2 linked regions of the Callithrix jacchus genome follow. The protein of the gene in region 1 purifies or fractionates together with the protein of each later gene. This does not show direct contact. Links are inferred from orthologs where the notes say so. Each region holds a gene or a part of one and is shown in the gene's direction. Other genes may lie near its edges.

Evidence for each region.
Region 2: the proteins of CASP3 (region 1) and CRYAB purify together in Homo sapiens (affinity purification with western blotting; 3 studies listed by BioGRID). This does not show direct contact. The link is inferred for Callithrix jacchus from reciprocal best matches to the Homo sapiens genes CASP3 and CRYAB.

Annotation. Positions count from the first base shown.
Region 1 is NC_133504.1:6,752,803-6,768,570, forward strand, and holds the end of CASP3 (caspase-3), read left to right. Parts: intron 1-2,542; coding exon 2,543-2,667; intron 2,668-5,533; coding exon 5,534-5,662; intron 5,663-5,930; coding exon 5,931-6,106; intron 6,107-6,397; coding exon 6,398-6,518; intron 6,519-8,649; coding exon 8,650-8,879; 3' UTR 8,880-10,443; downstream 10,444-15,768. UniProt on the Homo sapiens protein: Thiol protease that acts as a major effector caspase involved in the execution phase of apoptosis. Following cleavage and activation by initiator caspases (CASP8, CASP9 and/or CASP10), mediates execution of apoptosis by catalyzing cleavage of many proteins.
Region 2 is NC_133511.1:11,608,325-11,625,625, reverse strand, and holds CRYAB (alpha-crystallin B chain), read left to right. Parts: upstream 1-5,866; 5' UTR 5,867-5,912; coding exon 5,913-6,113; intron 6,114-6,984; exon of another isoform or gene 6,985-7,118; coding exon of another isoform or gene 7,119-7,154; intron 7,155-7,228; coding exon 7,229-7,351; intron 7,352-8,678; coding exon 8,679-8,882; 3' UTR 8,883-9,019; downstream 9,020-17,301. Other genes in the region: HSPB2 (heat shock protein beta-2), read right to left, coding at 3,775-4,229, 4,736-4,829; uncharacterized protein LOC118145697, read left to right, coding at 5,715-5,772. UniProt on the Homo sapiens protein: May contribute to the transparency and refractive index of the lens. Has chaperone-like activity, preventing aggregation of various proteins under a wide range of stress conditions.

The DNA of each region.
Region 1 (15,768 bases):
ATTACAGAAACACTATTAACAAGTTACCAGTAAAGATTCACAATTTTTGTTTAGCAAAGGAATTTTTCTAGAAAGAAAACTTTTGAAATGCAATCCCATTTTAGAAAGTCGTTATCTTGATTTAAATCATTTTAGCCAGTGTAGGGGCTTGCTCCTATAATCCCAGCTACTTGGGAGATGTGGCAGGAAGATCATTTGAGGTGAGAGTTTGAAACCAACCAGGGCAACATAATGAGACCCTGTCTCTAAAAAAATAAAAACAATTAGTCCACCGTAGTGCGTGCGCTTATAGGCCGTCGTAGCTATGCACCAGAGGTTATAGTGAACTATAATTGCACCACTGCACTCTAGCCTGGGCAACAGAGTAAGACCCTGTCTCTTTTTTTAAAAAGTCCTTTATTTTTTTGGAGACGGAGTTTCGCTCTTGTTGCCCAGGCTGGAGTGCAATGGCACAATCTCGGCTCACCGCAACCTCCGCCTCCTGGGTTCAGGCAATTCTCCTGTCTCAGCCTCCTGAGTAGCTGGGATTACAGGCACGCGCCACCATACCCAGCTAATTTTTTATATTTTTAGTAGAGACGGGGTTTCCCATGTTGACCAGGATGGTCTCGATCTCTTGACCTCTTGATCCACCCGCCTTGGCCTCCCAAAGTGCTGGGATTACAGGCATGAACCACCCTGCCTAGCACTACCTTTTCATGTCATACAGAACATCACTTCAATAACAAGTTATGAGAGAGCCCCAGATAGGTTAGGGTTGTTTTGATCCTGTGACAAGTTGCCCTCGGCAGTCCCGGCTTTTTGAGCCAGTGCCTTTATCAGGAGCATCTCCTCTTGGACTAGCTACCATGTGCTTGTAAAGTACCGAGTAGGAAACGGGTGTCAGGATCTGGGAATCATAGTTCCATGATCCATTATCTGTGTGACTTAAAGGTCAAGTCACACTTTCAGGATTTAAATTTAATCTGTAAATGTGAGGCTCTTCACCTCTAGTTAAAAATAATAACTCTTTCCTAAACTTGACTCTTTTAATTGACTACATTTAATCTTTTTCCAAGAGTATTTTTAGAATTGTGTATAATGGAGATACTCTACGGTTAAGTGCATGGGTATATGGACTGTAAGGATTAGTATTTGGCTGTTCCTAGACCTGTTTTTTCCTGACTCTTGGTCTAGATCAGGGATCAAGCTTGAGGCCTGCTTTTATCAAGTTTTATTGGAATATAGGCACACCCATTCCCTTACATATTGTCCTAGGTCAGTTTCACCAGCAGAATTGTATAGCTATGGCCAGGTACAGTGGCTCACAACTGTAATCTCAGCACTTTGGGAGGCCAAGGCAGGAGGATCACTTGAGGCCAAGAGTTCAAGACCAGCCTGGGCAATGTAGCGGGATCCTGTTTCTACAAAAATAAAATACAGAAATTAGCTGGGCATGGTGGGGACTGCCTGTCTGTAGTCCTAGCTACTTGAAACTCTGAGGAAGGGAAGAGTTCAAGGCTGCAGTGAGCTATGATGGCACCACTGCACTCCAGCGAGGGCGACAGAGCTACACCATGTCTCAGGAAAAAAAGAAAATAGAATTTAGTAGCTATAACAGAGACCAGATGGCCCACAAGCCTAAAATACTTAATATTTAACCCATTTAAAAAAAAGTTTACTGGCCGGGCACAATGGCTAACGTCTGTAATCCCAGCACTTTGGTAATCCGAGCTGGGCAGATCACAAGGTCAGGAGTTCATGACCAGACTGGCCAACATGGTGAAACTCCATCTCTACTAAAAAATACAAAAATTAGCCAGGCATGGTAGCTCATACCTGTAATCCCAGCTCCTTGGGAGGCTGAGATAGAAGATTTGCTTGAACTGGACACGTGAGGTGGAGGTTGCAGTGAGCCGAGATCACGCCACCACACTCCAGCCTGTGCTTCAGAGTGAGACTCCATCTCAAAAAAAAAGTTTACTGCCCCCCTTATCTAGATAGCAGAGGTTCTTCTTAGATAAGTGACTTACAGATATTTTCAATTATTTACAATAATGTTTTTATATATTAATAAATGACTAATTTGTTTAGCTCATGGGATTTAAGAAACTATTGTGATAAATATGGTGCTTTGAGTTATATTTACATTTTGTTGATTTCCCATCATTTCAGGGTAACTTTTAAGATTTTACTCTTACCTCCAAGAATAAAATATTTCACAAATTGATAAGTAATTTTTAAATTATAAAGGTATTTGGTGAAATTTTTAAGAATTTAGAGGAAAATGTAAAACATGGAAGCTAAAAGCCTGAACTCGGAAGTCCAGCAGATACTTCCCTTCCTTCTTGGCTGTGGCACAATCTTGGCACATTTCTTAGCCTCATGGCAGGTCATTTGCTCATGTGGAACATGTGTTGATGTGAAATTGTAATGGAGACAGTCTGGTTTATAGCACTCAACAAGTGTTCACTGTTACTGTGAGTTATAGAAATTGCACTAATGTAAACAGAAAGCATGGTCATTTCTACCTTTGTAAAGCTATTATTTGATTTTTAAACAGAAAGATCATACATGGAAGCAAATCAGTGGACTCTGGTATATCCCTGGACAGCAGTTATAAAATGGATTATCCTGAAATGGGTTTATGTCTAATAATTAATAATAAGAACTTTCATAAAAGCACTGGTATGTATCTTACATTATGTTTAATCTTTTTTAAATATTTGTGCCATTTACATTTGCTATAATATTGAAAGCAGTATTGCGGTATTATTAGTCATTAAACTATGACACAGACTAGCTGTGAAGTAGAGACCGGGCAGCACGCTCAGGCCGTGTGATGCACTGTGACACTGTGAACTGTCTCCTCTCCCGTCAGCTGGTTTCCTGTCTGTATGCTTCTTCTGTCCTGACTTCTCCACAGTCTTTGCTGCTTTTTCGCCTTTCTGCTCCCTCTTTGATTCCAACGGAAGGTTTTCAAAAAACAGTTGAGTAGTAGTATTTATTTTTTCCCCAGAAATTTCAAGACATATCACAAGCATTGCCTTCTTTAATTGTATGACAACCGGAAAGAAACAATTCCATTCTGAGAGGTTTTTAAACCTTGCACAGTCAGAGCAGGTAGCCTGGTGGCAGAGCTCAGTCTGCGTCACTCCAAAGCCCGAGCTCTGAATGCATCTCCTGTTCTGCTTCACCTCCTTGTATCTTCATGGGCTCTATTGCCTGTCTTCTCTTACCCTACGAAGCTGACAGAGATTGCCCATCTTAGAAAGATCTTTCTTTTATCCTGTTCCTTTTAATTCCTTTGATATTTATCTTCTTCCCTTCTTGCTTAAATTTTGAAAACATGTAGTTTAAGCTTGTACTCTTCACTTGTTCCAGTCCTTCTAGAGTCTTTTTCTATTTTGTCTCTACCACTGACCTGCTCTCTTTAAACATACCATGGCCTGACCACCAGATAGAGCCCCCTCTTGGTTTCTGTACTCGAATGTGGTACTACATTTGAGAATTATATATTTTTTAGAAATATAGATAATAAAATCCTTCACAATGCCAAAAAAGCTAATTAACATTTGGTGTATTGATATTTTTACTTGACAGTTTTTTTAAAGCTTGATTTTATTTATAACATGTAAGCAATGTTGTATTCTGCTTGTTTCACTTAAAGTAATAGCATTTTTTATATTGCTGCATAATTTTTATATCTGTTATAACGATTATATAATACCGCATCCCCAAAATACACCATTCACTTAATTTGCATAACTTACTATATAAATGACCCTTATGGCTGTTTCCCTTTTAAATTGATGCCGTGACAATTCTTTGAATTGGCATATTAATCATATTAGAGTTAATTTTTAGTTAGAGAAGCTATAGTAGATCTAATTTAGGACAGTACCTTTCAGAGTCGTGGTGGAAATGAAAGGAAGCCAGATTACACTGGGAAGACAGCAGGGCCTGTGTCAGGTTAGTTGTAAGGAGTGATGAGATAATGGAGCTCTAAATGGAACTTGTATTGCTTTCGGCTACAAGTTGAGATGCCGCCTTCAACCGCAAACTTAAAAAACACAACACCTTGTTTACTTTTGCTTTATACATATGTGAAAATTTAGTTCTAGATAATTCTGCCTTACGTTTATCTAGTTAGGATACCTTCTTCCTGTAGAATTTCGCATTTGGATCCATTGTTTAAAAAACCAAAAACAGGCATATCATTTCTCTACCACCACCACCTCCCCCACGTATTTAGACCAGCAATCTGGGTTTTGCCCTCAGTGAGTTCCTTTCCTAGTTTGCAATGTAAAGTCAGGTTCTCATGAGATCTCTGGCAGGCTGGGATTGGGCCAGGTACCATAGCTCATGCCTGTAATCCCAACATTTTGGGAGGCCAAGGCTGGAGGATCCTTGAGCACCAAAGTCCAAGATCAGTCTGAGCAACACAGGGAAATCCCATCTCTACAAAAAATAGAAAAATCTTAGCAGGGTGTGGTAGTGCGCAACTGTGATCCCGACTACTCGGGAGGCTGAGGTGGGAAGACAGCTTGGATCCGGGAGGTCGAGGCTGCAGTGAACTGTACTCTGGCCCACAGAGCATGACCATGTCTAAAAAACAAAAAAAGTTTTTAAAAAGGCAGCCAACACACCAGCACCAGAAGCCAGTGACCTTGTCACACAGCTGAGATAATCAACAACATTTTGGAGATGTGTATAGACTTTTTGTATCTAGTCTTCATACACCTCAAATTTACTCAATTCTGAGGTGTGTTTCCCACCAACATTTCAGCGTTTTGAAGTCTCAGTGCGTCATGCAGTCAATCTGTACATGAATGTGGAAGGTTCTTTAAAGGAGTGGTAGGAAGGCCAGGAGCCCTGGATAGAGGCCCAGCACCACTCTGTCACTCTGGGCTAGTTTGTTAACTTTACTGCATGTCCCACATCTGCACACGTGAAACCGGTAATCATACAGCTCTTACGGTGACGGGAAGGATTAAAGATTACCCACTGCAGAATATCTGATGAGCAGTAACAACGTTTGGGGGTTTTCCTTGAAGACACTGTGAATGTTATAATGCTATCTCCAAACCGTTGGGAAGCTAGAGTCAGAAACGCAGTTCTTCTGAGTGTGATAGATAAATGTATGTATTATAGGATCGTATTGTTTTCTAGTTTTATTTTTTTAAACAATGATGATTTCCCCATGGCAAAATTTTATGTTTGAAAATGACAACATAGTATATCGCATTATATAAGTGAGTATAATGTGTCTAACCAAACCCCTATTGTTAGACATGTACGTTGTTTCTGTTTTTTACTACCTAAACAGCTATGAAAGATATCTTGGCTATAACACTAATAAGGTTATGGTTTCAAGTGTCTTACTACAAAATTGAAGAGATTTTATGTCACCATGATCAAAATAGTTAGAATTCTCTTTCATTTGAAAGGAAGAATTTATTGTGGACTTTTGAATTGCTGAGTAGCTCATTTCATGTCAAAGTAGTTATTCTTTGTTTTCAGTATAATTAAAAGCGCTTCTTTCTGTTCCAAGGAATGGCATCTCGGTCTGGTACAGATGTGGATGCAGCAAACCTCAGGGAAACTTTCATGAACTTGAAATATGAAGTCAGGAATAAAAACGATCTCACACGCGAAGAGATTGTGGAACTGATGCGTAATGGTAGGAAACAAGGGTGAACTTCTAAAATATGAGAATTGTGGAATTATATGATACATAATTCTAATCTTACCTATTTTAGTAAGAAGTTTTAAAAAAGTTACTTATGCCCACTTCCTAAAATAGTTTCAGATACGTTGCTGAGCCCAGGTTCGGTTAAGATGATCTCTTAGTTTTACTCTGTCTCTTCATCATGTTCCCATACAGTATATCTGAAGTTGTTGAATGAAGTCATGGATTTTTTTCCTTTTATGTGCAAATGTCTTTTCAGTTTCTAAAGAAGATCACAGCAAAAGGAGCAGTTTCGTTTGTGTGCTTCTGAGCCATGGTGAAGAAGGAATAATTTTTGGAACCAATGGACCTGTTGACCTGAAAAAAATAACAAGCTTTTTCAGAGGGGATTGTTGTAGAAGTCTAACTGGAAAACCCAAACTTTTCATTATTCAGGTAACGTAACTGAGTGATTTGGTGATTGAAGATTAATCAGGGGCTAATTTTCTCAATTGTAAATTAGCCAAAGGATGTGTGGTTTTTTTCCTGAAGCTAAGAAACTATCGTTACTTTTCATTTACTTAAACTACCACTTAAAAGATACGGAGTAAATTTTAATTTTATACTTACATATCAAAAAGACAACATAATTAACATCCATTTTTACATAGTGTTTCAATTTCTTAGAAATAAGTTATATGTGCACACACAAATTTTTATAATAAATATTTATTTTCTAATGCCCAGGCCTGCCGTGGCACAGAACTGGACTGTGGCATTGAGACGGACAGCGGTGTTGATGATGACATGGCGTGTCATAAAATACCAGTGGAGGCCGACTTCTTGTATGCATACTCCACAGCACCTGGTGAGAACCTTGCACATAATGAATGTTACATGTGGATTTCAAATGAATTTTACTGTGACTAATCATAAAATTATACAGTGAAGAGTGTGTTTCAGAGACTGTCAAGATTTTGATATCCCTAAAGATACAAACTTGTCTATATTTTAGGGTACCTTCATCAAAGAGAAGTCTCCAAAAGTTGTCTTTAGCCAAAAGTTTGGCTAGAAAATATGCATAAATAGCTGGGTGCAGTGGCTCATGCCTGTAATTCTACTGCTTTGGGAGGCCAAGGCGGGTGGATCACTTGAGGTCAAGAGTTCAAAACCAGCCTGACCAACAATGTGAAACCCTGTCTCTACTAATAATATAAAAAATGTAGCAGAGTGTGGTGGCGCGTGCCTGTAATCCCAGCTACTCGGGAGGCTGAGGCAGGAGAAACACTTGAACCTGGGAGGTAGAGGTTGCAGTGAGCCAACATCGTGCCACTGCACTCCAGCCTGGGTGACAGAGCGAGGCTCCTTCTCAAAAAAGAAAAGAAAATATGCATACATAGAGTAGACTAGAGCAATGTCATTCATTGGACTTTTTACCAGGTAGAATATTACATGGCAACAGAGGCCAAAACAGAGCTTCCCTGCATTTTAAAGAAGAAGAGAAGTATGTTTCTCAGGAATTATTTGAAAGGTAGTAAATAAAAAAGATAAACATGACTAGTATATGAGAGGATAGATGTGGAGTGGGAGATAACAAAGAAGGTAAGAAATGACATATGAATATGCTGCTAATCTCCACTGTTTACAGTTCTGCTGTACCTGTCGTCATCTAAAGAAATATTTGTTGAGGGCCAGGCGCAGGGGCTCAAGCCTGTAATCCCAGCACTTTGGGAGGCTGAGGCGGGTGGATCAAGAGGTCAAGAGATCGAGGCCATCCTGGTCAACATGGTGAAACCCCGTCTCTACTAAAAATACAAAAAAAATGAGCTGGGCATGGTAGCGCGTGCCTGTAATCCCAGCTACTCGGGAGGCTGAGGCAGGAGAATTGCCTGAACCCAGGAGGCGGAGGTTGCAGTGAGCCGAGATCGCGCCATTGCACTCCAGCCTGGGTAACAAGAGCGAAACTCCTCAAAAAAAAAGAAATATTTGTTGATTATGCCACCATTTACTTATACAACTACTCAGGGTGCCAGAGGGCGTGACACCTGAAGGAAATGGGAAATGTTTTGTTTTGTTTTGTTTTCTGAAACGGAGTTTTGCTCTTCTTGCCCTGGCCGGAGTGCAATGCCGCTATCTCATATCACTGCAACCTCTGCCTCCTGGGTTCAAGCAATTCTCCTGCCTCAGCCTCCTTACTAACTGGGATTACAGGCATGTGCCACCACACCTGGCTAATTTTGTATTTTTAGTAGAGGTGGGGTTTTTCCATGTTGGTCAGGCTGGTCTCGAACTTCTGACCTAAGGTGATCTGCTTGCCTCGGCCTTCCAAAGTGCTGGGATTACAGGCATGAGCCACCGTGCCCAGCCAACTAAATGTATTTTTATGCAGTGTCGCATTTTAATATGTGCACAGTGTGGTTTCCTCTATCCCCTAGGCCTCTTCCTCAGCAAAGTACCTCTAAGTTAAAAGCAATGGGTCCAACAGTTAACCTGAAAAAGAAAAGTATGATAAATACACTCTTTTCCCTTTTTGGACCTTTGGAATATGTGTATTATACTTTATTCAGATGCTCTGTAGACAAATAGGACACTCAAAGCAATTTATTTCTTGGCTAAGTCAGTATTAAAATCAGGTGAAATGTGATCGGAACACTGTTACTTATAATCCTCTTTATAGAGCTCCACGTTTGCCTCTTATCTGTTGCGTGTTTGCTGTTCTTGCCTATTGAAAGGGGAGTCCAGAATGTAAAACTTGCAATAATTCAGTGTTCGTGAAGCTAGTCTGCAGTCCCTTTCTTTGCCAAAAGCAGGGGTGTGAGTGTGTGCATAGCACACGTTCTTCCTTCTTCCACATCATTGCTTCTGAAACCAAAGGTGTCTTTTTTCTTTGTATTGTTAATGAGTTTGTGCTTATTTTTGCCTTTTTTGACTACGTAATAATTTATAGAATCAACTACAATCAACTATCCATGGTATTTTGGTTGTATTTTGCCTTGTAGGTTATTATTCCTGGCGAAATTCAAGGGACGGCTCCTGGTTCATCCAGTCGCTTTGTGCCATGCTGAAGCTGTATGCCAACAAGCTTGAGTTCATGCACATCCTGACCCGGGTTAACCGAAAGGTGGCAACAGAATTTGAGTCCTCTTCCTTTGATGCTACTTTTCATGCAAAGAAACAGATTCCATGTATTGTTTCCATGCTCACGAAAGAACTGTATTTTTATCAGTAAAGAAATGGTTGGCTGGTGCTTTTTTTTAGTTTGTATGACAAGTGAGAAGACAGTATACCTGCTGCTGTCTTCCTCTCTCATTTTAACCTGCTCTCATGCTGCAGAGGGTACTTTGAGACATACTCCTTCCATCAGGTAGATCCACTATGAAGCTACCTCAAACGTACAATCAGGTAGTTGCAACTGAATTGAATTAGAAGTAAATAAAAATGGATACCGGTGCAGTCAATATGAAAGGCAATGGTTGTTGATTTGTAGCTTCCATGACTAGCAAGTTATAGTGATGCTATGCTACGCATTTTCAAGGAATTGTGAAGAAGTAATTGAAGTCATGAATTTTTAGGATATTCCTCCCACTTAAGACTGTGTAATCTGGTTTTGTCACACTGTAGAAATGATGTGGAAGAACTTAGTCATCTGTGGGCGTGCTCAAAAGCGCGAACTTTTCTTTAGAATTGATATGCAAATGTGAGTCAACTGCCTTTTTAAACCATTTACCTGGGATAATGGTTTTGTAATTTTTGTCCTAAACACCTTTGTTGTAAAAAAAAATTAATAATGCTGTTTAATATTGAGAAAGACACTAAGTATTTTATGTGAGAGAAAGTGTGAGGAAGCTAGGTTGACTCTCAAGGCTAAAACATAACATTTGTAGGGGTGGAGTTTTAACTGTGAGGTGCTACAATGCAGCTGATCCACCAGCAGAAATACCTTCTGATTTGTCCCTACGCAAATCAGTTGAGCTTCACATACCAGCAATAGATCTGAAGAGCTATTGTATAAGAACCCCAAACTGTTGATTACCAGCCTGATCATGTGAATAAATTATATAGGAACATATGAAAATACAGCTTACATAATAAAAAGTAGAATGTGAGGAAAGCAATCAATGCATGGGATGAGCTGTCTGTAACGTGAGAGCAGATGGTTTGAGCCTGAGCGGAGACACAGCACAGCCTGTTCCATGCAGGCAGAACCATAGACCATGGTTTCAGGAAGGGCCTGCAGCTCGCTTCTTAATACACTGGTGTGTCTGGAAGTTGCCGCCAGGGCCCCACTGCCAAGTAAGAAAGTGAACCAAATCAGAAACTTCTGAAATGGAAATGTAAAGGTGGTGAGTCACAATAAAACTCTTAGCACTCTTTGTAGTAAAATTCTTAAGCATGTTATATTCTGTTGATGTTTACAATCAAAGGAAAATAGTAATGTTTTATACTGTTTACTGAAAGAAAACGACAGTGGCATATAGGACTCTAGATGGCTTCCAGCCAGAGGCCAGAGCTGCGCACCCAGCCCGGGAGGCAGACTCTAGGCCTCCCCACTCAGCAGGTGCTGAGCCCTCACTACACCGAGTCTCACCTGCTTTCAGTCTGACATTTCACAGGAGATTTCTTGTTGCTCAAAAAATGAATTCGCATTTGTTAATGACAGGGTTTTTTTTTTTAACTAAATTTGTAACTTTTGTAAATACACGTAGCAGGTAATGATATCTTAAAGTGTTTTCCTGTGTGACAACTTTGTACAAATTTTCCTTTTTTTTCAAAATATAGATTCAAACTTAAAATAACCGATGTGTTTTGAGTTTTTTGTTCTGTTGTTTTTGATGTTGTGCTACTAGTTGGAAATTAAAGTGTTTTTCACCAGAAGCTTGATCTGGAAGAGTCAAAGAGGAGGCACCAGAACCCTTGCCGGGTGTTTTGAGGAGGCAGCAGTGACTGAACGGGGCAGACAGATCCCTAATGCTTCCCAGGTCCTCACAGAAGGTCCTGACCCTGAAATGACCACAGTGCCAGGAAGATACTTTGTGTCCATACATCTCAGGCCTTAAATGTGACCATATTTGTGAATTTGAAACTTCTTCAAGGAGGTATATTTTAAATGTGTCTAATGGGAAGAGCAGCCTAAGGAGATACGCAGCAAGCGGTTGATTTTTACTGATGGCCTCCTCTGGGCACCGGGAGTTTGACAGAGGAATCTGCTGTCTTTTTACTTCATATGCTTAGAAAAGGAATATAGGAAAGTGGGGTTGTGGGTAGTTGTAAATTTCTTCCAGTATTTCCATAAGGAGCATATATTACTTTTAAATCAGAAACAAAATTGTCCTAATTAGGAAAAGGGACCTCATTTCCGAGGAATCAAGAGTGGCATGAATGAGTTCTTTAAGCCCGTAAGAAAGCAGTGGTTCTATAAAGCATTGAGGAAAATCTGGCTTATTCTTGTCTCCTTGCTACGTAAAGCAGTGTCATACTACAAAGGAAAAGACCAGCAACCCAACAGGAAAATGAGCCAAGGACATGAACAGACAGTTCACAGAAAAAGAAAATCCAAGGCCAGGCGCGGTGGCTCAAGCCTGTAATCCCAGCACTTTGGGAGGCCGAGGCGAGTGGATCACGAGGTCAAGAGATCGAGACCATCCTGGTCAACATGGTGAAATCCTGTCTCTACTTAAAAATACAAAAAATTAGCTGGGCATGGTGGCGTGTGCCTGTAATCCCAGCTACTCAGGAGGCTGAGGCAGGAGAATTGCCTGAACCCAGGAGGCTGAGGTTATGGTGAGCTGAGATCACACCATCACACTCCAGCCTGGGTAACAAGAGTGAAACTCCGTCTCAAAAAAAAAAAGGAAAATCCAAATGTCCCTGAAATTCAATAAGGAGCTTGATCTGCATCATAATAGGAGAAATGCACATTAAGGTATCATCTGTCGTCTGTCAGACAGGCAGAAACCCCAGTTTGGGAACATACTCTGTTGGCAAGATGTGGGAAATGTATCCTCTCCCACTGGTGGAAGTGCAATGTGGTGAAATTCCCTATGGAGGGAATCTGACAATACCTATGAAATTATTTGTTCTTTGAAGTAGCAGTCCCATTTCTTAGAATCCAGCCTACCCATACATCTATGTGTGTACAAAATTACATACGAGCTTTTCATCACAACATTGTTTCGGTGTTAGAAAATGACAGCAACTCAACTGTGAAGGAGACAGGTTAAATACACTGCAGCTTCCACACAAGAGAAAGTTGGAGCTGGAGGGGAAGGTGAGTTAAAAGATTTGGGGTTTTTAAGTGAGAAAGATTTGAGGAGGTTTAATGCTGATGGTGGGTATCCAGTTAAGAGAAAGACTGAAGACACTAGAGGCAAAGGTAACTGACAGTGTAAGGTTCCTAAGAGCCCCAGGCAGTAAATCCGAGCATAGCCGGGGGTGGGGTGTGAAGAGGCAAAGAAACTTTTTTTTTTTTTTTTTTTTTAAATGGGAAAGTATGAGAGGGTGGGTGTGAATGAACTTAAATTTGTAGTTTTTGTGGCAGGAAGTTCCCTTACTGTAACTTCTACATTTTCTGTGAAGCAGAAGACAAGAACTCTGTTAAAAGTTAGGGAAATGATAGTGAGATCGAGGGCTAGAAGAGGCTTGAAACAATCATTGTCAGGAGTGGGAGTTGACCAGAAATTAGAAAGGTCGCTGGGCCATGTGTAGGTGCCCAGTTGAAACCAACCATTAGCAATGTGCAGTGTTCCAGGCTGCGCTGCTGTGTGAATCTACCCAGTAACACTTTGGGCTTTTGCCCACATTTATTTTAAAAAGGCAGAGGAGGCACACATTTTGGGGTACTGCAAAATAACTTTCTGAATTGGTAAACTCAGACTCTAAGCTGGGGAGACAGAAATGAAAAGGGACTAATAGGGAATAAGACGTGTGATCCATGGCCTGAGGCCCTGATGGACGTGAAGATCCGCTGTTGTGGGAGGACTGGAACACCAGCACTGAATGATGGAGGCTGTGGTCAGAAACAGGTTGTCTGAGTTGGAGGGGCCACAAATCTGGTCATGAAAATGGTGAGACTAAGAAGAATGAAGTGGCATGCAAGAGACCATTGTGGAAATGTGGAACTAAGGGCGAGGATGTTGGGTGTGTGCTCTGCTGTATGAACACTGATCTCATGCTAAAATGAGCTTCACTATGTGGGAACAGAGTAATAAGATAACTTAGTTGTGTTTACAAACTTCCCATTTTATGGATTTGAAAAAAATCCATCATTCATTTTTGCCAGGTAACGTTTTTTAGAGTTATCACCCATTATTCATAACAAGAAAGACTTTTTTTTTTTTTTTTGAGACGGAATTTCGCTCTTGTTACCCAGGCTGGAGTGCAATGGCGCGATCTCGGCTCACCGCAACCTCCGCCTCCCGGGTTCAGGCAACTCTCCTGCCTCAGCCTCCCGAGTAGCTGGGATTACAGGCACGTGCCACCATGCCCAGCTAATTTTTTGTATTTTTAGTAGAGACGGGGTTTCAGCATGTTGACCAGGATGGTCTCGATCTCTTGACCTCGTGATCCACCCGCCTCGGCCTCCCAAAGTGCTGGGATTACAGGCTTGAGCCACTACGCCCGGCCCAAGAAAGACATTTTAACTCCAACCTCATCATTTCCCTCTCAACCCCGAAGTAGGGACATAATCCCAGGTTAAAGGATAATACTTCCAAGGAAAGGCTTATCACACATGCGCACACATACACATTCCTCAGGATCTAACCTTATGCAGTTCGAAATTGCATTTGGGAAGCAATACTCTAATCCATGAAAATAACATAGTACTTACCACCTGAAATGAACTCAAAAAACCTCCCTCCTTGGTGAGACGTGGGCAGTGAGAAACAGCCATGACTAGAAATGACACTGGGCTGTCCCTTAGAAACCTTTTCACAAAACATGTTTGTTGTGCTCATTATGATGTCATCGTTATCGGCAAGATGTCAGAACTTTCCGTAGGTAAAATACTCCAATTTAAGTCACTTCTCTTCAGATTTGTCTAAATTTCAGTTGATTTTGAGCAAGAAGAAGTGAATGTTCACGTGTGAAAGTCTGTGGCTCCCTTGCATAGACAATAAGAAATAATGGGTAAAGATTCAAGTTAAATGTAGCGTGCATGTGGGTGTGTGGCCGAGGGATATTTGGATTCCGGTCTGTCAGGCCACTGATCAAGTGATCTCAGCCAAATTACAATTTCTGTCGTCCACGTTTGAAGACTCACGCCCTTGCAGCTCTAATATTGTATGTAAAAGTAAAAGGCATTTTGAGTGTGTAGAGACTGTTCATAAGTTTTTTTTTGAGACGGGATCTTGCTGTTGCCCAGGCTAGACTATAGGGGTGCAATCACAGCTCACTGTAGCCTCAACCTCCCAAACTCAGGTGACCCTCCCACCTTAGCCTCCCGAGTAGCTGGCACTATAGGTGTGTGCTACTACACCCTGCCAATTTTAATTTTTATTTTTTTAGACAGAGTTTCCCTTCTGTTGCCCAGACTGGAGTGCAGTGGCACAATCTTGGCTCACTGCAACCTCCACCTCCCAAGTTCAAGCGATTCTCCTGCCTCAGCCTCCTGAGTAGCTGGGACTACAGGCACACACCACCATGCCTGGCTAATTTTTGTATTTTTAGTAGAGGTGGGGTTTCACCACATTTGTCAGGCTGGTCTCGAACTCCTGACCTCAGGTGATCCATTTGCCTCAGCCTCCCAAAGTGCTGGGATTACAGGCATGAGCCATTGCGCCCAGCCACCAATTTTTTAAAAATTTTTTGTAGACATGGGATCTCGCTATGTTGCCCAAGCTAGTTTCAAACTCCTAGTCTCAAGGTGTCCTCCTCCTTCTCCCAAAGTGCTAGGATTACAGGTGTGAGCCACCACACGTGGCAACAACTCTTCATTTTGACAGACCGGAGTTCTCAAACTTTAGCATACGTCATAGTCATCATGTTAAAAATGACAGTGCCAAGTCTTCATGCTCTGAGATTCTGGTTCTTCATGTTAAAGAGATGCAGAGATCCAGGAATCTTCGTGTTATTAAAGAAACAAATTGCTCAGGACACGTGATAAAGGAGGCCACGCAGACATTGGTCAGGGAGACTATCGCCATAGCTGTAGGGAATGCCACATGGGGTTTTGCATTCAGTCGGGGCAAGAAATTAGGCTCTGCTGCAAATACAACAAGGAAATGTGGGAATTTACAGCTGAGGAGTTGGTGGGGGTGGCGGGAGGTTCGGGGGAAACATCAGGGCTATGGGGGGATTCCAGCTAAATCGACCAAACGGGATTCTTGCTGAAGGCAGTCTAGAGCGAGGAGATGTCACCTAGGCACTGGTGGAGAATGAGGAACGCAATCAGATATCAAGGTTGGGGCATTCTGGCTAAACTGACTTCGCAGGCTTCTGGCTAAAGCTGGACAAGGCAAAGGTGAACAAGGAAGGTCAGAGTCACAGCCTTGTTGAGAAGAGTTGAGAGGTGCCTGCTGAGACAGGCGAGGGAGAGAATGTTTGCCAGGGTCTCACAAGCACTTCAGGTGATCCCCATGCCGTTGTTCCTAGGGCACACTTGAAGAAACGCTGCTGATGTCTGTTTCACAGTTCTTTCTCTCTTACCCATGAACCAAGTGAGAAGACAGCACTGGCCAGCGGTTTTAATTCTCTTCAACTTGGGTTTGGACTTCAAACCTTCATCTGCCTCTCTCCTACTTTCAAGGTGTCTGGAATATTTTCTCAACACCAATAACCAATTCTCTGATTCTCCAGACGCCAACTGGATGTCCTACATTTAGTTCTAACACTGTCCACCTGGAGGTAGCACAGACCCCCCCAGGTTAAGGGCTCATCCCCACAAGACCCCCACAACTTCAGATACTCGTTGCAAGGCCTGGCCGCCTGCACTTCTGACCCACTGGCTGTAACTTAGGGATTCCTGCTATAACCCTAACAGGTCCACCGCCCGACGCAGGCATCAAGGCAGTACACCGAGACATCGGGTTGCGCAGAGAAAGAGGTATGATTGTGGGGCCACCAAACAAGAAGACAGGAGGAACCCTCAAATCCATCCCCCAAGGGAGTGTGGGGCGCGG
Region 2 (17,301 bases), on another chromosome or scaffold:
GTTCACACCACTGTGCCTAGCTAATTAAAAAAAACTTTTTAGAGATAGGGTGTTTTTATTTCTTTTTCACTAATGTGAGATGGGGTCTCGCTATGTGGACCAGGCTGGTCTCGAACTCCTGGCCTCAAGCAATCCTCCCATCTCAGTCTCCTGAAGTGCTGAGATTACAACAGGTGTGAGCCACCACGACTGGCCAAGATAGGGTCTTTCTGTGTTGCCCTTGTTGGTCTTGAACTTCTGGCCTCAAGTGACCCTTCCACTGTGCCTCGTTCCTATATTTTACTTTTTTTTTCTTGTGCCCTAATCATTGCACTATCTTGTAGCCATACTTCTTCTATGCAATCCATTCTGTACTCTTAACTGTATCATTTTCATCCACTCCTTCTCCTCCCAGTTTAAAAGCCATTAATGATTTCCTATCACCTATAGGATAGAGTTCAAGCTGCTTAGCCTGGCACTCAAAAAGCCCTCCACAATCTCGTTCTTTTTTAGCCACCACTTCTGTAATGTTTTTAAAAGCACATAAGCATCTGGGTTTACACAGTGGCTTGGCTCATGCCTGTAATTCCAGTGCTTTGGGAGACTGAGGCAGGAGGATCACTTGAGCCCAGGAGTTCAAGATCAGCCTGGGCAATATAACAACAATCCATCATCTCTACAAAATATAAAAACTAAAAAATTAGCCAAGTATGGTGATGCATGCCTGTAGTCCCAGCTACTCAGAAGGCTGAGGTGGGAGGATTATTGAGCAAGAGAGGTTGAGGCTGCAGTGAGCTGTGACCACGCCATTGCACCCCAACCTGGTCAACAGAGTGAGACTCTGCCTCTAAAAAAAGGAAATCACCTAAGAGATTTTTAGATGACCAGAAACTCCAAAGGAATCAATAGAGCAATAGACCATTGTGGTAGCCAGAAAACCTGATATGCCTAAAGCAGCATTAATAGAAAACCAAAGTGATGAGAATATTGATTATTCCGCTGAAGTCTATTCTAGTCAGTTCATGACTGAAATAATAATTTTAGGTCTAGATGTTAAATTTAAAGTTATGTTGTCAAAAGACACTATGTTAAAAATAAAGTTATCTGGGTAATATGTAATGTGGAAAGTGCTATATGATATGGTTGAAAGAACAAGACATGGCCGAGTGTGGTGGCTTACCTGTAACCCCAATATGTTGGGAGGCTGAGGGGGGCAGATTGCTTGAGGCCAGAAGTTCAAGACTAGCCTGGGCAACATGGTGAAATCCAGTCTCTACAAAAAATTATCCAGGTGTGGTGGCATGTGCCTGTAGTGTCAGCTACTCAGGAGGTGGGGGTAAGGGGACTGCTTGAGCCTGGGAGGAGGAGGTGGCAGTGAGGGGAGATGACACCACTGCATACTCAGCCTGGGTGCATGTGCAAACAAAAAACAAAACAACAAAATAAAAGCGAAAGACAAAACTAGACACAGCTGGGAAAGGGAAGCCTCAGGAAGACACCATGGTTTATCTTTAAATATCAGAAGGACTTTCAAGTGAGAAAAACAATTGCATCTGTTTTCCAGAGAAGTTAGAGAAATGTAGATTTTGATTCAACAAAAGGAAGAATTTATAATAGTTAAGTCAGTTAAGTCCCCCCCCCCCAAAAAAAAATGAAGGGCCAGTTGCAATGGCTCACATCTGTAATCCCAGCACTGTGGCAGGCCAAGGCTTGAGGATTGATTGAGTCCAGGAGTTCAAGAAAACCTGGACAACAAAGTGAGACCTTGTCTCTACAAAAAGCAAATATTAGCTGGGTATAGTGGCACACACCTGTAGTCCCAGCTACTCAGGAGGCCGAGGTGGGAGGATTGCTTGAGCAAGGGAGGTTGAGGCTGTAGTGAGCCATGATCATGCCACTGCACTTCGGCCTGAGCAACAGAATGAGACCCTGTCTAAAAAAGAAAAGAAAGAATGTGAAACAGGCTACTATAGGAAGTTCTAAGTAGTCTGTCATTCAGAATGTCCCAGAAGAAGTTGATTAATAACTTTAAAAGAATTTGAATGGAGTGGGGATTTGGACTAAATCAGAAGTTTTCCATTTTTTTCTAGCTAAGAAACCCTTTCCCTTAAATAAAGCTCAATTGCAAAACGTATCAGTGTGAAGCTATTCAGGTTGAAGTTTAAGTAGAATCTTTTCTGATTCTTTTTCTTCTCAACTGGATTCCAGAAAGTTGACAATAAAAGCTAATAGTTTTTATAATTTATATTCACAGTGTATATCCCCCATGGTGTATTATGTGAGGTTTGATAAATATTTATTGAATGAATGAACAATTAAATATGTCAAAAGTTATTTCTCTGGGGCATGCTTTCATTTTTAATAGACAGCAATCTTTTAACCAAAAATCAAATTCCTCAAATGAGGTCCGTTATCCTGGAGTTCCACAGATTCCTAAGAGGGGTATATGAATGGGTCTCAAGAGTTGTGGGAACCTATTCAAATTGTATTGCCAAATTTCGGAGCATGTGTATTTTCCTCGTAAGAGCAGCTATAGCTTTCTTCAGATTTTCAGATGTGTCTATAACCCCAAAAATTTAAGAAACAACTACTTTATTTTAATTGAATTGAACTGAATTTTTTTGAGGCAGGATCTCACTCTGTCACCCAGGCTGGAGTGCAGTAACATGATCTCAGCTCACTGCAGCTTCTAGCTCCCTGGCTCATCCTCCCACCTCAGCCTCCAGAGTAGCTGGGACTACAGGCATGCACCACCAGACCTGGATAATTTTCATTTTCTGTAGAGACAAGGTTTCACTCTGTTACCCAGGCTGATCTCCAACTCTTGGGCTCAAGTGATCCTCCCGCCTTGACCACCCAAAGTACTGGGATTACGGGAGTGAGCCACTGCACGCAGCCAAAGAACAACTACTTTAATGGAAGAATTATAGGTATCTATTACAGCCTGATAAAATACGTATTTGGAGGCAGGAAGTTCTTTTGAATACCCCCAAATTGTGTACCTGCATGTTCTCTTTATTGCAGAGAATAACTGAGGGGACAGACCCTCAGGCTTTCCTAAATACATTATACCCCCCAGAGGATGCGAAGGTAATGGAGTTCCATGATAATGGAAGAGGCTTCTGTGTCTGTGCCCCAGTGTATGCGTACTCAGGCTCTTGAAATCAGTGACCATTTCAGTGGACAGACCTGAGTAAATGAAAACAAAGTATTTACTCCAGGGCTTCAGGCAACTCTCACCAGCCAAAAACCATTTTCCCAGCCCCTACCCAAAAAGGCCCAGACAGTCTGGAGACCCTTGTTTTTGTGTCTCTAATCACCAGCTCAGACAGTGCCCTCTGGACTGTTTGGATGGCATATCCCTTTTCCCTCCCAGGATCACTCTCTCTTTTGTTGCATTGTGAGAAAATTATGGCTGGGAATTTGATCTGGAGCCAGAGTCAGCTTCCGGGTGTGATCTCAGCATCCAAGTGCGAGCTCAGGGTGCTATGACGTTTGGTACATCAAACTGAGGAGCTTTTTGTCTCGTTGGCTGTGACCTCCTCCCTCCCTCCCCTTCCCATCTTCCCAGCCACAGAGTAGGGAGCAGCACAAACAAGGCCCTGAGATTTGGGTTTATTCACCTCCACCCAAAACTAAACCAAGGCTAGGACATGTCCCATGGGACCAAACCATACATTGTGGACCATGCACCTTTCCCTTCCCCCAAGGATGCTGCTACCTCTGGAGTGGTGGGCAGCTGCCCATATCACCGTGGGAGGTAAAGAGGGATTTGCTGGTGCTGGTCTGTGGCAATCAGGGCTCAACTATGGCTGCCTCCTCCTCTTCCTCTGGATCAGGAGGCGCAGGGAGCAGGGAGATGTAGACCTCGTTGACCTCTGTGTCCAAATGTCGGCCACCCCGAGGCGCTTCCAGGTTTAAGATGCCATCATGGGAGAGAGCAGCTCGGACCCGCCAGGGGTCTACGTCAGCAGGCAGGACATAGGTGCGGCAGAACTCTCGGGACACGAAGCCGTGGCGGTCCAAGCGCTGGGGGTGCCGGGCAGACACCTCCAGCAGGTTATCTACAGTCCTCACAGTTACCTCGTCTGGGGTAAAGTGGCTCACATCCAGAAATGCCTGGAACTTGCCCTCACTGAGCCTAAGCTCGGAGGCCCCTGCCCTGCTACCCTCCCCAGCTGGGGCAGCGCGAGGCCGGACATAGTAGCCATGGTAGAGTGTGGGGGTCAGGATCTCTTCCGGCAGGAGGCCTAGGGGGCAGAGAGAAGGCAAGAGGCAGGATGAGGGAGGATGAGGTGGGCACAGGGGCGAAATGGGAAATCTGGAGAGGGGGGATTGGGAAGAGCAGGAGGGGAGTCAGGAGGAGCAGGGAAGGGAACCGGAGGGAGGCCACACAGTAGCTAGGAGGAGAAGGTAGCTGGGAAGAGGGGAAAGAGGAAAGGAAAAGGAGGAAAAGGAAGGGGAGGAGGGAGAGGAGGAGGAGGCACCAAACTGGGCCTGGGTGGATAGAAGGGGGACAAGGAGGCACACTAAGGCAGCAAAGGGCAGGTATCAGCACTGCAGGCACCAAGTCTGTCTTGAGGTCAGCAGGAATGGGAAAGAGCCCTGCTTGGAGGGGATGAGGGGAAGTCTGGGGTGGGGGATGACTGGCTTCAGGAGATCAGTTAAGCCGAGTGGGGTGGAAGCCAGTAACGCTGGGAGGTCAGCCCAGAATTTCGGGAGGGTGGGAGGCAAGGGGGTGGCGTCTGTGCCATACCTTCTCCAAAGCGCTGCTCACCCAGGCGACTCGGGTTGGCAAATTCGTACTCGGCGGTGGCTGGGTGGGCATGTGGCACTGAGCGGCCCGACATGGCTGCAGAAGCAGCGGAAGCCCTGGTCCGAGGTGCAGCCCCAACAGACGCAGCGCGACCCCTCCAGCTGCCGGGAGAGCTAGGGCTCAATAGGAGGTGGGGGCGGGGTCGACACCACCCAAAATAGTGCCGTGCCTCTGCGGGGGAGGGGTGGGGAGTGGGGGCCCTCAGTGAGAGCAACAGGGTGTAACCAGTGCCGCCCGGACCCCTAGTCCCCTCCCCCGAACACTTCAGCTGTTGCAGGGGGTCTGAGAGGACAGCTGAAGGTCCTGGCTGGGAACAAGCTGGGGAGGGGGAGCTAGTGGTGTCTAGGACATGAAGAGGCCTTGCTGAGACCCTCACGAACGGTTTCCACGTTTCCACAGCACATTTCCTCCTCCTCAGTGGCAGGCACTGTGCACCCAATAAATTCCTAAAGCTCTCCTGGATTTAATTAATGTTCTGAGAGCCACATAGGATGAAAGATGCAAGAAGTCTTTTGCTCTTTCTTCAGGGGTGAGGTCTTTCTGCCCAGATGTCAGGGTCCTCCCCTGAACCCAGGTCAACCCAGGGCACGAGGCAGATGGCTGGTACTGACATGTTGACCATCACTGCTCTCTTCTAAGGACTCACAAAGAGTTAATGTCCCTGGGGCCCAGCCTAGGAAGATTCCAGTCCCTGCCCAGGCCCAAGATAGTTGCTGGCCTGATTCCCTTGGCATGCAGGACTGGAGAGGAGGAGGAGGGGCACACCCCCCTATGCCTGCTTGGGATTCCTGACTCTGTCCCAGCTTCAGAGAACAGGGGTGGGGGTGGGTGCCCATTGGGTGTGGACAGAAAGCTAGTGAAACAAGACCATGACAAGTCACTGGCCAGCTCAGACGTGTTTGTGTTTCTCTTTTCTTAGCTCAGTGAGTACTGGGTATGTGTCACACTGCCAAATCCCCGATCACAAGTCTCCATGAACCGGCAGTGAGCTAGGATAATAAAACCCCTGACATCACCATTCCAGAAGCTTCACAAGACCGCATATATAAGGGGCTGGCTGTAGCTGCAGCTGAAGGAGCTGACCAGCCAGCTGACCCCCAACACTCACCTAGCCACCATGGACATCGCCATCCACCACCCCTGGATCCGCCGCCCCTTCTTTCCTTTCCACTCCCCCAGCCGCCTCTTTGACCAGTTCTTCGGAGAGCACCTGTTGGAGTCTGATCTTTTCCCAACATCTACTTCCCTGAGCCCCTTCTACCTTCGGCCACCCTCTTTCCTGCGGGCACCAAGCTGGTTTGACACTGGACTCTCAGAGGTGAGTCTTCCCCTCCCAGGATGGGAGAGTCCTTACTGGAACATCCTGGAAACTTCTCCATCCATTTTTCTTTCCTTCCCTGCCTAAACAATTTTAGGCACATGTGTGTCCAAAAGTGAAGAAAAATGAGGTTGCTAGTGCCTTCCTCCCCTGTCAGCTATTTCTATTTGATGGTCCTCTGTATCCCATTTATTACATTTTTCTATGCACCGTCGAGTTCATCCTCTGTCCCCTAACTTCTCTCTGCAGGATACCCCTTTCTAGTTTGGTTCATAACGATCTGCAGGGAAAGAGCTGCCTTCGAACTCCTTTACTCATCTCTTCTAACACCTCAGACTCTTGACCAATTTTACCATCTCAGGTTTCAGAGCCAGGAGAGAGCCCTGCCTCATCCTGAGCTGTTCATCCCCACTGGGTGGAGCTGGGGCCAACCACCACTATTTTCTGCCTTTCTATTCCTTCTTCTAGGATTTTCTGGGTCCCTTAAGGCTGTGACAGAGCACTGGCCTGGGTCCAACCAAGCCTTATGAGGAAACAATATAGGTCTAGTCTTGGGATCCCCCACTTGTCCTGAGAGGGTGGGAGAAAAGGGTGAACAAATAAGGTTGACCGAAGCTGTTACAGATAACACTCTGGTTTAAAAATATTTGAGTGTGAGTAAACAGGACCTGAGTGGGCAAGGGCTTTGGAAGGACAAGCAGGACCAGCAGAACATTCCAGATTGGGTGGGTGGAAAACTGGCAAAGAGACCTGAGCAAGAAGAAGAAAGGCCTTTGTCTCACAGACAAACCACAAAGCCAGGCATTGGAGTCAGAGAGGCAGCAGATGCCAGGCCTGCACCCATCTTTGTGACTGGTCCCCTGGGTGATCTGTCTTCTTCTCTGTCCCTGGAAATAAAGTTTAGGTCTGATCACCACGAGCCTTAGGTATCACTATGGTGGCTCCCTGAAGCAGAGAGCCGTGTTTATTTAAAAAGGCGATTTTCTTTAAGCAGAAAAAAGAAGGATGAATTACCTGGACAGAAAGCAACTCTGCAGAATGGTAAGACAGCACCAGTATAATTAGTATTTTTGCCATCTTTTTCCAACCCCATTCTCTTACCTTGCTATTTTTAGATGCGCCTGGAGAAGGACAGGTTCTCTGTCAACCTGGATGTGAAGCACTTCTCCCCAGAGGAACTCAAAGTTAAGGTGCTGGGAGATGTGATTGAGGTGCATGGCAAACATGAAGAGCGCCAGGTATGTAGCTTGTTTTTGGTTTTTGTTTTCTGCTCATTCATTCAGTGCATACTGTAATAGTCTCAGTAGAGCTCTCAGCTTCGGAGGCTGGCTACATTCCAGTCCCAAGCCATAACGGTCTGGATCAGGGCTTACAAATCAATGTCTGGAAGACTAAGTTAGGGAGAGACCTACTGCTGTCATGACTGTTGTTATGGCCAGAGATGCGGCTTTTGTTTTATTTGATCACCTTAGATGGGATGCTGATGCCCCATCAAGGCCAGTGGTTCTGAATCTCGGCCACATTAGAATCACCAGGGGAACTTTCAAAAATCCTAATGCTCAGGCATACCCCAGACCAATTCAGTCAGAATTTTTAGGGATGGGACCCAGACATCAGCATTTTTTAAGGTGATTCTAATCTACAGTCAAGGTTGAGAACCACCGATTTAGGGTTAGGGTTGTAAGACACCTAGTTGCTTTGCATAATTACATTAACTACATGTACCCTGAAGGCTCTTGAGTTGTGACTTCTCTTTACTTGTGCAAGAATCCACGTTTCATCTTTAGTCCATCTTAATGCTGAACCACTTGGTTTGTCTAAATTTCAGTCTTCAGTCCCCCTGTAGCCTATGTGGAAATCAGTTAATGAGAGCCTGTTTGGTTACATGCTTGAGAGTCGGCAGGCATACGGGTAAAGGTCACCTACCCTTTGTGGGAATTCTGACGAATGGAACAGCTTCTCATGACTTTGTGAGAGGGCTTTAAAATTGTTTCTTACCAATTAATGATAGCTCAGAACCTGTGCATCAACTAGTACAGTTTGTCCTTAGTAACGTCCTCGAGCTGTTTCCATTTTGCTCATATGATTTAGGTTTGGGTTATAGTCTCCTTGGATGGAGTCATTTTTCTTCTTCTTCTTCTTTTTTTTTTTTTGCAGCAGTCCTATTGTTCTGGAACATTCTGGGACATTCCTGAAGAGTCAGGACAATTTCCGGGTTTCCTCAGGGACTCAGATTCTAAATGAGATTCCAAATTCTGTAGGCCCAGCCAACAGAATTTGATCTAAACCTTTGGGAAATACCCCTAAACATGTCTATGCCTCTGGGTTTGAAAAACAATGATGTATTGGGCTGTTTCAGACTTCTCAGATTCTCACTGGTAGGAATGACTCTACCTAGGCAACTTCATCTTAACTCCAAACCTGAAACAAAGAATTATTTATTCTTCCTATGTTGTCATGGCATCTGGTCTCACCTAAGGGGAAATCGGGATGCTTGAGTTCTGGGCAGGTGATAATATTTCCTGTTTTTATTTCTCTGCCTCTTTCCTCATTCTCTTGGGTTAGGATGAACATGGTTTCATCTCCAGGGAGTTCCACAGGAAATATCGGGTCCCAGCTGATGTGGACCCTCTTGCCATTACTTCATCCCTGTCATCTGATGGGGTCCTCACTGTGAATGGACCAAGGAAACAGGTCTCTGGCCCAGAGCGCACCATTCCCATCACCCGTGAAGAGAAGCCTGCTGTCACTGCAGCTCCCAAGAAATAGATGCCCTTTCTCGAATTGCATTTTTTAAAACAAGAAAGTTTCCCCACCAGTGAATGAAAGTTTTGACTAGTGCTGAAGCTTATTAATGCTAAGGGCAGGCCCAAATTATCAAGCTAATAAAATATCATTCAGCAAGAGATAACTGTCTTGTGTTTGAATATTCCATACACTTTTAAATAAATGTACAAATGCCACAGATCCATTTATGATTGCATTATGATTTAGAGGACGCCAGGGATTTTAGAGTCAGAATGACTGGCTCCACCATTTACTAATGGTATAAATTTAGGCAAGTTGCTTAACCTTTCCGGTCTTCAGGTTTTCCATTTATAACATGGGTTACTGAGTTGTGCAGAGCTATTATAGGAAGTAAATTAAGGAGAAGCAGCAGAAAAAGCCCCTGGCAGAGTTCAAGGAATATTAGTTACTTTCTCTCTGTCCTCTTTGATTTTAGCCCTTAGTTTAAAGGACTGGAGCAAATCTGAATGAACTCTGGATAACGCTATTTAAAAGCCCTTACTGCATCTCTGAAATTAATTACATCGCCAGAGAGGACATGGTGACCCTAATATTGTTTGACATTTTCCTATTGCTAAACATTGCCTTCAGCTGATTTACAGGGGCAATAAATAGGACTTGGGTGATTATAACCTAACAAGCTCTGAGCTATAGTCTAAATCAGTGGCCCCCAACCTTTTTGGCACCAGGGACTGGTTTTGGGGAAGACAATTTTTCTGTGGCCCCAGGGGAGCAGAGGATAGTTTCAGGATGATTCAAACATTAGATTCTCATAAGGAATGCACAACCTAGATCTCTCACATGTGCAGTTCGCAGTAGGATTCTGCTCATATGAGAATTTAACGCCACCATTGATCTGAGAGGAGGCAGAGCTCAGGTTCACTCACCACCTACTGTGCAGCCTGGTTCCTAATAGGCCACAGCCATGGTTCCCGATGGTCTCTATGGCCTGGGGGTTGGGGATCCCTAGTCTAAATTATCTAGCCAACACCTACTAACCTAAGGCCAGGAAATATCCAATTCACATAATACTTAAGTTTTAGAATTACAATTAATAACTGATCAATAAGTGGTTCTATTATTTAGCTTAAAGACATACCACTGTACAAAAAAAAATCCCCCCCCCCCCCCAACAAAAAGCAACCCTCCATTTCACTTCTGTGGGTCTGGACCAACTTCTGATTCACTTGATAAACAGCACTGCTGCAGGTGATCTGGTGTAAATGTTTACTGACAACTCTTATTTTTTCTTTAGCAGCTTCCAGCTAATTTTTCACTTCTTGCAAAATCAGAAATGAGTCAGTTTGGGGGACTGACCAGGGTTTTGAAACATTCTGTATGAAACAATTGCTCCAAATGTTTTTATGGCATAGAGGGAAACAACACATACGGGGGCCTATCAGAGGGTGAGAGAAGGGCAAGAATTGGGAAAAATACCTAATGGATACTAGGCTTAATACCTGGGTTATGAAACAATCTGTATAACAGACCCCATGACACATGCTTACCTATGTGACAAAATGAAGGACAAAAAAGGTCACAGTGAGATACCACTGAGCCCCTATTAGAATGACTAAAATGAAAAATTGACTATACTAAGTAAAACAAAAAATAAATACACAAACTTAAAACTTAACAATAAAAAAATTCATGGTACAGGGTGTGGAGGTAGGATGATACAAATCGCAAATCTATACAGGTTCAAAATGCTTTCTCTTAAAAAACAATTCCCTAATAGTCTGAAATGCTGTGATCTAGCCAGAAGTTTACAGTCAATGTTCGTGGCTCTGTAGCAGACTCTGTTGGTGCCTAACCAACAGCTATTTAACACCTTCAGCCTTGCCAACAGTACCCCAAATCGGTTTATGTATACACCATATTCTTCCTAGCCATGTCCTTCAGAGACGTGAACTCAAGCTCCAGCCACAGGACGTCTATCTTGATTAGTCCAAAGAAGCAGGAAAATTCTCTTCTTGATTTTCAAGATTAATCTTGAAAGTGCTATGACTCAATTATGGCAAATGAGACAGGAGGGAAGTCTGTTGGAGATGCTTCTAGAAAAAGTTTCTAAACTAAGAGCAAGTTTCTAAAGGATTCAGAGAGAGAGAGAGATCTCTTTTTTTTCTTGCTCTGGATGTTGGAGCATGAGAATGTGATGCCTGGATTACTGTAGCCATTTTGAAAACATGAGCGGGGCATTCACAATAGGCTGAGCACAAAGACAATAATCTCAGGTCCTTAATGGGTCAATGAATTGCTGAATTAGCCAACTCTAGAGTTTCCCTACTTCAGGCTGACTGATTATGTCTTGTTTTTGTTTAATAATCTATTTTGATGTGGGTTTTCTGTTACTAGCAAGCAAAAACATCTGATATTATAAAGGCTGAATTAGATAGTACAAAATAACCGAATGCCTGGAAGCCATGTGTCAATTTTAATCATTTTAGTGAATTACCAATTCCAAAGCAATGATTGCCTTGGTTTTAAATAAATCACAACTTTGACTATTAGAGAATGAAATGTGTTTCAAACATGTGCAGGATTACATGTTTTTGTTTATTACCATAAGTGTCTAAGTTAGACTGGTTTTCATTGTTATTCTTTCTACACCACACCCTTTGCTGTGGCTATGCACAGCTAATATTTTATATATTATTTTATACTAATATTTTAGCATAGGACTATTCTAGTACAGTACATTTGAAGGGTTTTTTTAGCTATATAGCTAGCTCATCCAGGATTCTACTTCATTCCCTATATCTGAATTATGCCAGAAGTTTATGGAGGCAATTCTAAATAGCATTTGTTTTATTTTTTAATATTAGCTAACATTTACTGAACACTATATTAGTCCATTCTCACATTGCTGTAAAGAACTACCTGAGACTGTGGAATTTATGAAGAAAAGAGGTCTTCGGGAATTCAAATGGAGATATTCAATAGATAGTTGGATATTTATATCCAGTGTTCTGGAGATGTATTTGGGATAGAAGTGTAGGTTTAAAATTTGGAATCATATAGATAGGAGTTAAAGGCATAGGATAGTATCACCGGGGGGTAGAAAAAGAGGAGCAAAAGGGCGAGCCACAGAATCACTGGAAATGCAAACTTAAGGGATTGGCAGAGAAAAGTAAGCTCATAAAAGAGACCTAGTAATAATCAGAGAAATGAGAGAAAAACACGTTTAGCACAATGTCACAGAAACCAAGGGAATAAGATTTCAAGAAGTAAAAGGTGGGTGGTCAAGTGGACTATCAAATGCAAAATCTAAAAGTAACATATGAGCTGAAGTATCCACTAGATTTGGTAAAACTTTCACCGTCATAGAAACACTTTTAGGAAACTGGTGGGTCAAAGAGGAAATGGGAGGTGGATTTCTTGACAAGATAGAGCAGTAAGCTCATATCTGATGCAATCCCGCGGCTGTAAACACACAGCAATGGTAGAATTTTTAAAGTAGAAAAGATAAATGATAATACCGACAAATTAAATTATAAAATATTTAAATAAATAAAATTTAGGAGGATGGGTCTATTAGACTCTAGATAAAAGACAGTGGCAGCTGATGAGTTCAACTCCTACAGGTAAAGGGACTAAAAGTGCTCAACCTAAGACAGAAGAAACAATTGGATCATGACAGCCAGTGGCTGTGGTGGGATTTTCCCACTTGTAAAAGAAAGACAGAAAAATCCTGTCCATCTGCCTTCTGGGGTTATAGTTGAATAGAAACTGGGCTTAGTGAGGTGGAAAGACCAAGATATAGCCTCCTGATTCAGAATTTACACATGATATCTTTTTTTTTTTCTGAGACAGAATCTTGTTCAGTTTCCCAGTCTGGAGGACAATGGCACAATCTCAGCTCACTGCAACCTCTGCCTCCCGGGTTCAAGCGATTCTCCTGCCTCAGCCTCCCAGTAACTGGGATTATAGGCACCCGCCACCAGGCTTGGCTAATTTTTCTGAATTTTTAGTAGATATGGGGTTTCACCACATTGGCCAGGCTCGTCTAGAACCCCTGATCTCAAATGATCTGCCTGCCTCAGCCTCCCAAGGCGCTGAGATTACAGGCATGAGCCATTGCACCCAGCCTACATGTGATATCTTATAGCTCAGTGATAGCATCCAATATGACAGCAGGACAGTAGCCCCATTCATCATTACAAAATCCCATTTAGAACTGGGAAGGAGAGAGATGTAAGAAGCGTGATGAAGGCAACTGCAAAACTACTAGAGAATAAGGAATGGTGGACATAGAATCAGAGAAATAAAGAAGGAAAAGCAAACTGAGAATCTATTAAAAACCAACATTCCAAACACATGAAGAAATCTCATAGTAAGAAAGATAGGCAACAATAAAATCAACAATAAGAAAAATGAAGGACCTTGGAACCCACCCATTCTTTTACTTTAAGAAAAAAACAAGTAATTGTTGCAGAGGTATTTTATATTTCTGTATTTTGCAGCTGCCTTTTGGTAAGAAGCACCTTTTCCAAATTAAAAAAATTTTAATAAAAATTAAAATGAGGTGCTTGAAGCAGTGGCCCACACCTCTAATCCTAGCACTTTGGGAGGCTGACACAGGTGGATCACCTGAGGTCAGGAGTTCAAGACCAGCCTGGCTGACATGGTGAAACACCATCTCTACTAAAAATACAAAAGTTAGCCCGGCATGGTGGTGCCTGCCTGTAGTCTCATCTACTCAGGAGGCTGAAGCAGATGAATTGCTTGAACCTGGGAGGCAGACATTGCAGTGAGTTGAGATCTCACCAGGCACTCTAGCCTGGGCAACAGAGTGAGACTCCTTCTCAAAAAAAAGGGGGAGGAATAATTTTATTTAGAAAGGGCAAGAAATACTAAATTAAAACAAGCAGAATTTAAAAATAGGATGGACATGAAAAAACCATTTAGACGTATTAGAAACTGATGTTATGAATGCTATCAGGAACAAAGTTACACGTTTACAAATTGAAAGAAAGCTGAGGAATTCACTCAGAATACAGCAAATTAGAGGAAAAGATTTTTTAAAATAAGAACAGTTAGGATATATGGAGGAGAAAATGAGAAACCAACATGTATCCAAATAGGTGCTTCTAAGAATTAATAGAGACAACGATAAAGCTTTATTTGAAGAGATTTTTCAGAATTGAAGATGTGAGTCTTCAGATATTGGGCAGGATACATAATACTAAATTGCACTTAAATATATGATTGTGAAAATCCAGAACAATAAGGATCAGAAAAATCTTAAAAGGTCTGAGGACAAAAAGGTGTATTAATTACAAATAAGTTACGATTAGATTGACAGCAGACCTCTCAGCATCAGTAAAAATCAAGACAATAGAGTCATGGCTTCAAAGTACTGGTAGAGTAGAAATAGTTGTTAACTCAGAGTTTTAGGTAAGTTATCACTCAAAGTACAATATGCCACGAATGCAAAGATGGCTCAATATTGGAAAATCTCTATAAATTTACTATATTAATAGACTAAAAGAAAATAAATCTTATGATTATCCCAACTAATGTGTGGTTCAGCTTCTCTATTTACATGGAGGGAAACTTCTGTTAGAAAATCAGAAATAAAAGAAATTTCCTCAAGTTGGTAAATACTATATAATAAAAACTTAGTGCAAACATTATAGTTACCAAAGAAAATTTAAAATCATTTCATTCCTTTGAATATCCTGAGCAAGACAAGGATGCCCATTATCACTCTTAATATTTAATACAGCAGTAAAGGTTCTGACCAACGCCATAACAGAAGAAAACGCAAAGAAGAGGTGTAAGAATTGGAAGGATAGAGATGAAACTGTTATTATTTATAAATGATATAATAATCTGACAAAACAACCTCAAAAGAATCAACAAACAGGTTGGGCATGATAGTTCATGCCCGCAATCCCAGCACTTCGGGGTGCTGAGGTGGGAGGATCGCATTACCTCAGGAGTTTGAGACCAGCCTGGACAACATGGTAAAACTCTGTCTCTACTAAAAAAATTAAAAACAAAAACAAAAAATTAGTCAGGTGTGGTGGTGCACACCTGTAGTTCCAGGTACTTGGGAGGCTGAGGTGGGAGAATCACCTGAACCTGGGAGTTCGAGATTTGAGGCTGTAGTGAGCCAAGATCACATCACTGCACTCCAGCCTGGGGAAATGGGAGTGAGACCCTGTCTCAACAACAACAACAACAACAACAAATCAGAATCAACAAACTATTAGAACTAACAAGAGAGTTCAGCAAACTTGCAGAACACAATCTCAGATTATGGAATACTGTGCTGGTTATCTACTTCTGCATATCAAACTACCTGAAAATTTAGTGGCTTAAAACAACATTCCTTTTATTCAGTCTTACTAGGTGGTATTCAGCTGGTAGACAGTCTCATCTATAGGTTTTAAGTAAACTTTCATTCCTGATACCTTGGCACGGACGGTTGGAAAGCTGGGGCTCAGATGGGCTTCTCTCTCTGTCCACATAGTGTCAGGTCTCTCTACAAGATCTCTCTAGCAGATAGACTTCTTACATGGCGGCTTCTCCGGGAAGGAGTGTTCCAAAAGACGGAAAGTGGGAGCTGCAAGGTTCTTAAGAAATTTACACAGTGTTTCTTTTGCCATATTTTTTTGACCAAAGCAGTTGCAAAGCCTTTCTACATTCAAAGGGAAGGGCACAGACCCCCTACCTCTTAGAGGAGGGAGAGTAGAAAAGTTTTTGGCCAAACTTAATCCTCCACAGGAGCTTACAGAGAGGGAGAAAATATATAATATCACAAAAATTCACAAGGAATAATGGCATTAATAGCAGTAATATACAAGGAACTCCTGAGAATAAGCCAAGGACAGCTATTCCAAATTAAAAAAAAAAAAAGACTATGCACAGGACATTTATCCAAGTGGAAATCAAGAAGCCAACATGGATACAAAGGAATGCTGAAAATAACTAGTAATCACGAAATACAAATCAAAGTAACAACAAGCTATTTCTTTACAACAGTGTTTCACAATATTGGTATTACCAGTATTTTGGGCCAGACAATCTTTTGTTGTGGGGGCTTGTCTGTACCTAGTAGGATATTTAGCAGCATCCCTGGCCTATACCCACTAGCTGCCAGTAGACACCCCCCTTTGGAAAATAAAAAATATCTCTAGAAATTGACAGTTATCTCCTGGGGGATAAAATCATCCCAGGTTGAGAACCATTGCTTCATACCTATCAGCCTGGCAAAAAATAGAAAGCTGGTTAATGTTTTTTTTTTTTTTTTTTTCTTGAGACAGAGTCTCACTCTGTCGCCAAGACAAGTGCAATGGTGAGATCTTGGCTTACTGCAACCGTGGTTTCCCAAGTTCAAGTGATTCTCCTGCCCCAGCTTTCCAAGTAGCTAGGACTACAGACATGTGCCACCATGCCTGGCTAATTTTTATATTTTTAGTACAGACAGGGTCTCACCATGTTGGCCAGGCTGGTCTCGAACTCCTGACCTAAGGTGATCCACCTGCCTCGGCCTCTCAAAGTGTTGGGATTACAGGTATGAGCCACCACGTTAATGTTAAGTGTTAGCAGAGATATGGCAACATAGGAAGCCTCGGGCCTTGCTGGTGGATGTGTGAGTGGCACAGCTATTCTTGAGAGCAATAGTCAAATTAAATGTAGATATACCTCAGGACTCACCAATTCAGCATGTGGGTAATTTGCACAGGTCCACAAAGGAATATATGTGAGGATGTTCTCTGCAGCTTTGTCTGATAATGGGGAGTTGGAGGCAAATTAAAATGTGGTGGCAGAATATCCTGTCCAATAATAGCAGACATATTTTTCTCAGTGCACATAAAACCTTCCATAGGACAGAGCATGAGTTAGGCCACAAAACAAGTTTTAACAAATTTTAATAGACTGAAATCATACAAAGTATCTTTTCTGATCACAATGAAATAAAATTAGAAATCAATAACAGAAGGAAAAATGGAAAATTCACAAACTAAACAATACACGCTTAAACAACTACTGGATTTTAATTTCTTCTTTAGAAGAAATCATGAGGGAAATTGGAAAATATCTTGAGACAAATGAAAAAGGGAACACAGCTGAGTGCCGTGGCTGACCCCTATAATCCCAACATTTTGGGAGGCCAAGACAGGTGCATCACTTGAGCTCAGGAGTTCTAGACAAGCCTAGGCAAAATGGTGCAACCCTATATCTACAAAAAATACAAGAAAACAGCTATGCATGGTGGTGCATGCCTAAAGTCCCAGCTACTCAGAGGGCTAAAGTGAAAGGATCCTTTGCATCCAGGAGGCTGAGACAGCAGTAAGCTGTGTTTGCACCTCTCTCTCAAAAAGAGAGAGAGAAAGAGAGAGAGAGAGACAGAGAGAGAGGGAGAGAGAGAGGAGAGAGAGACAGAGAGAGA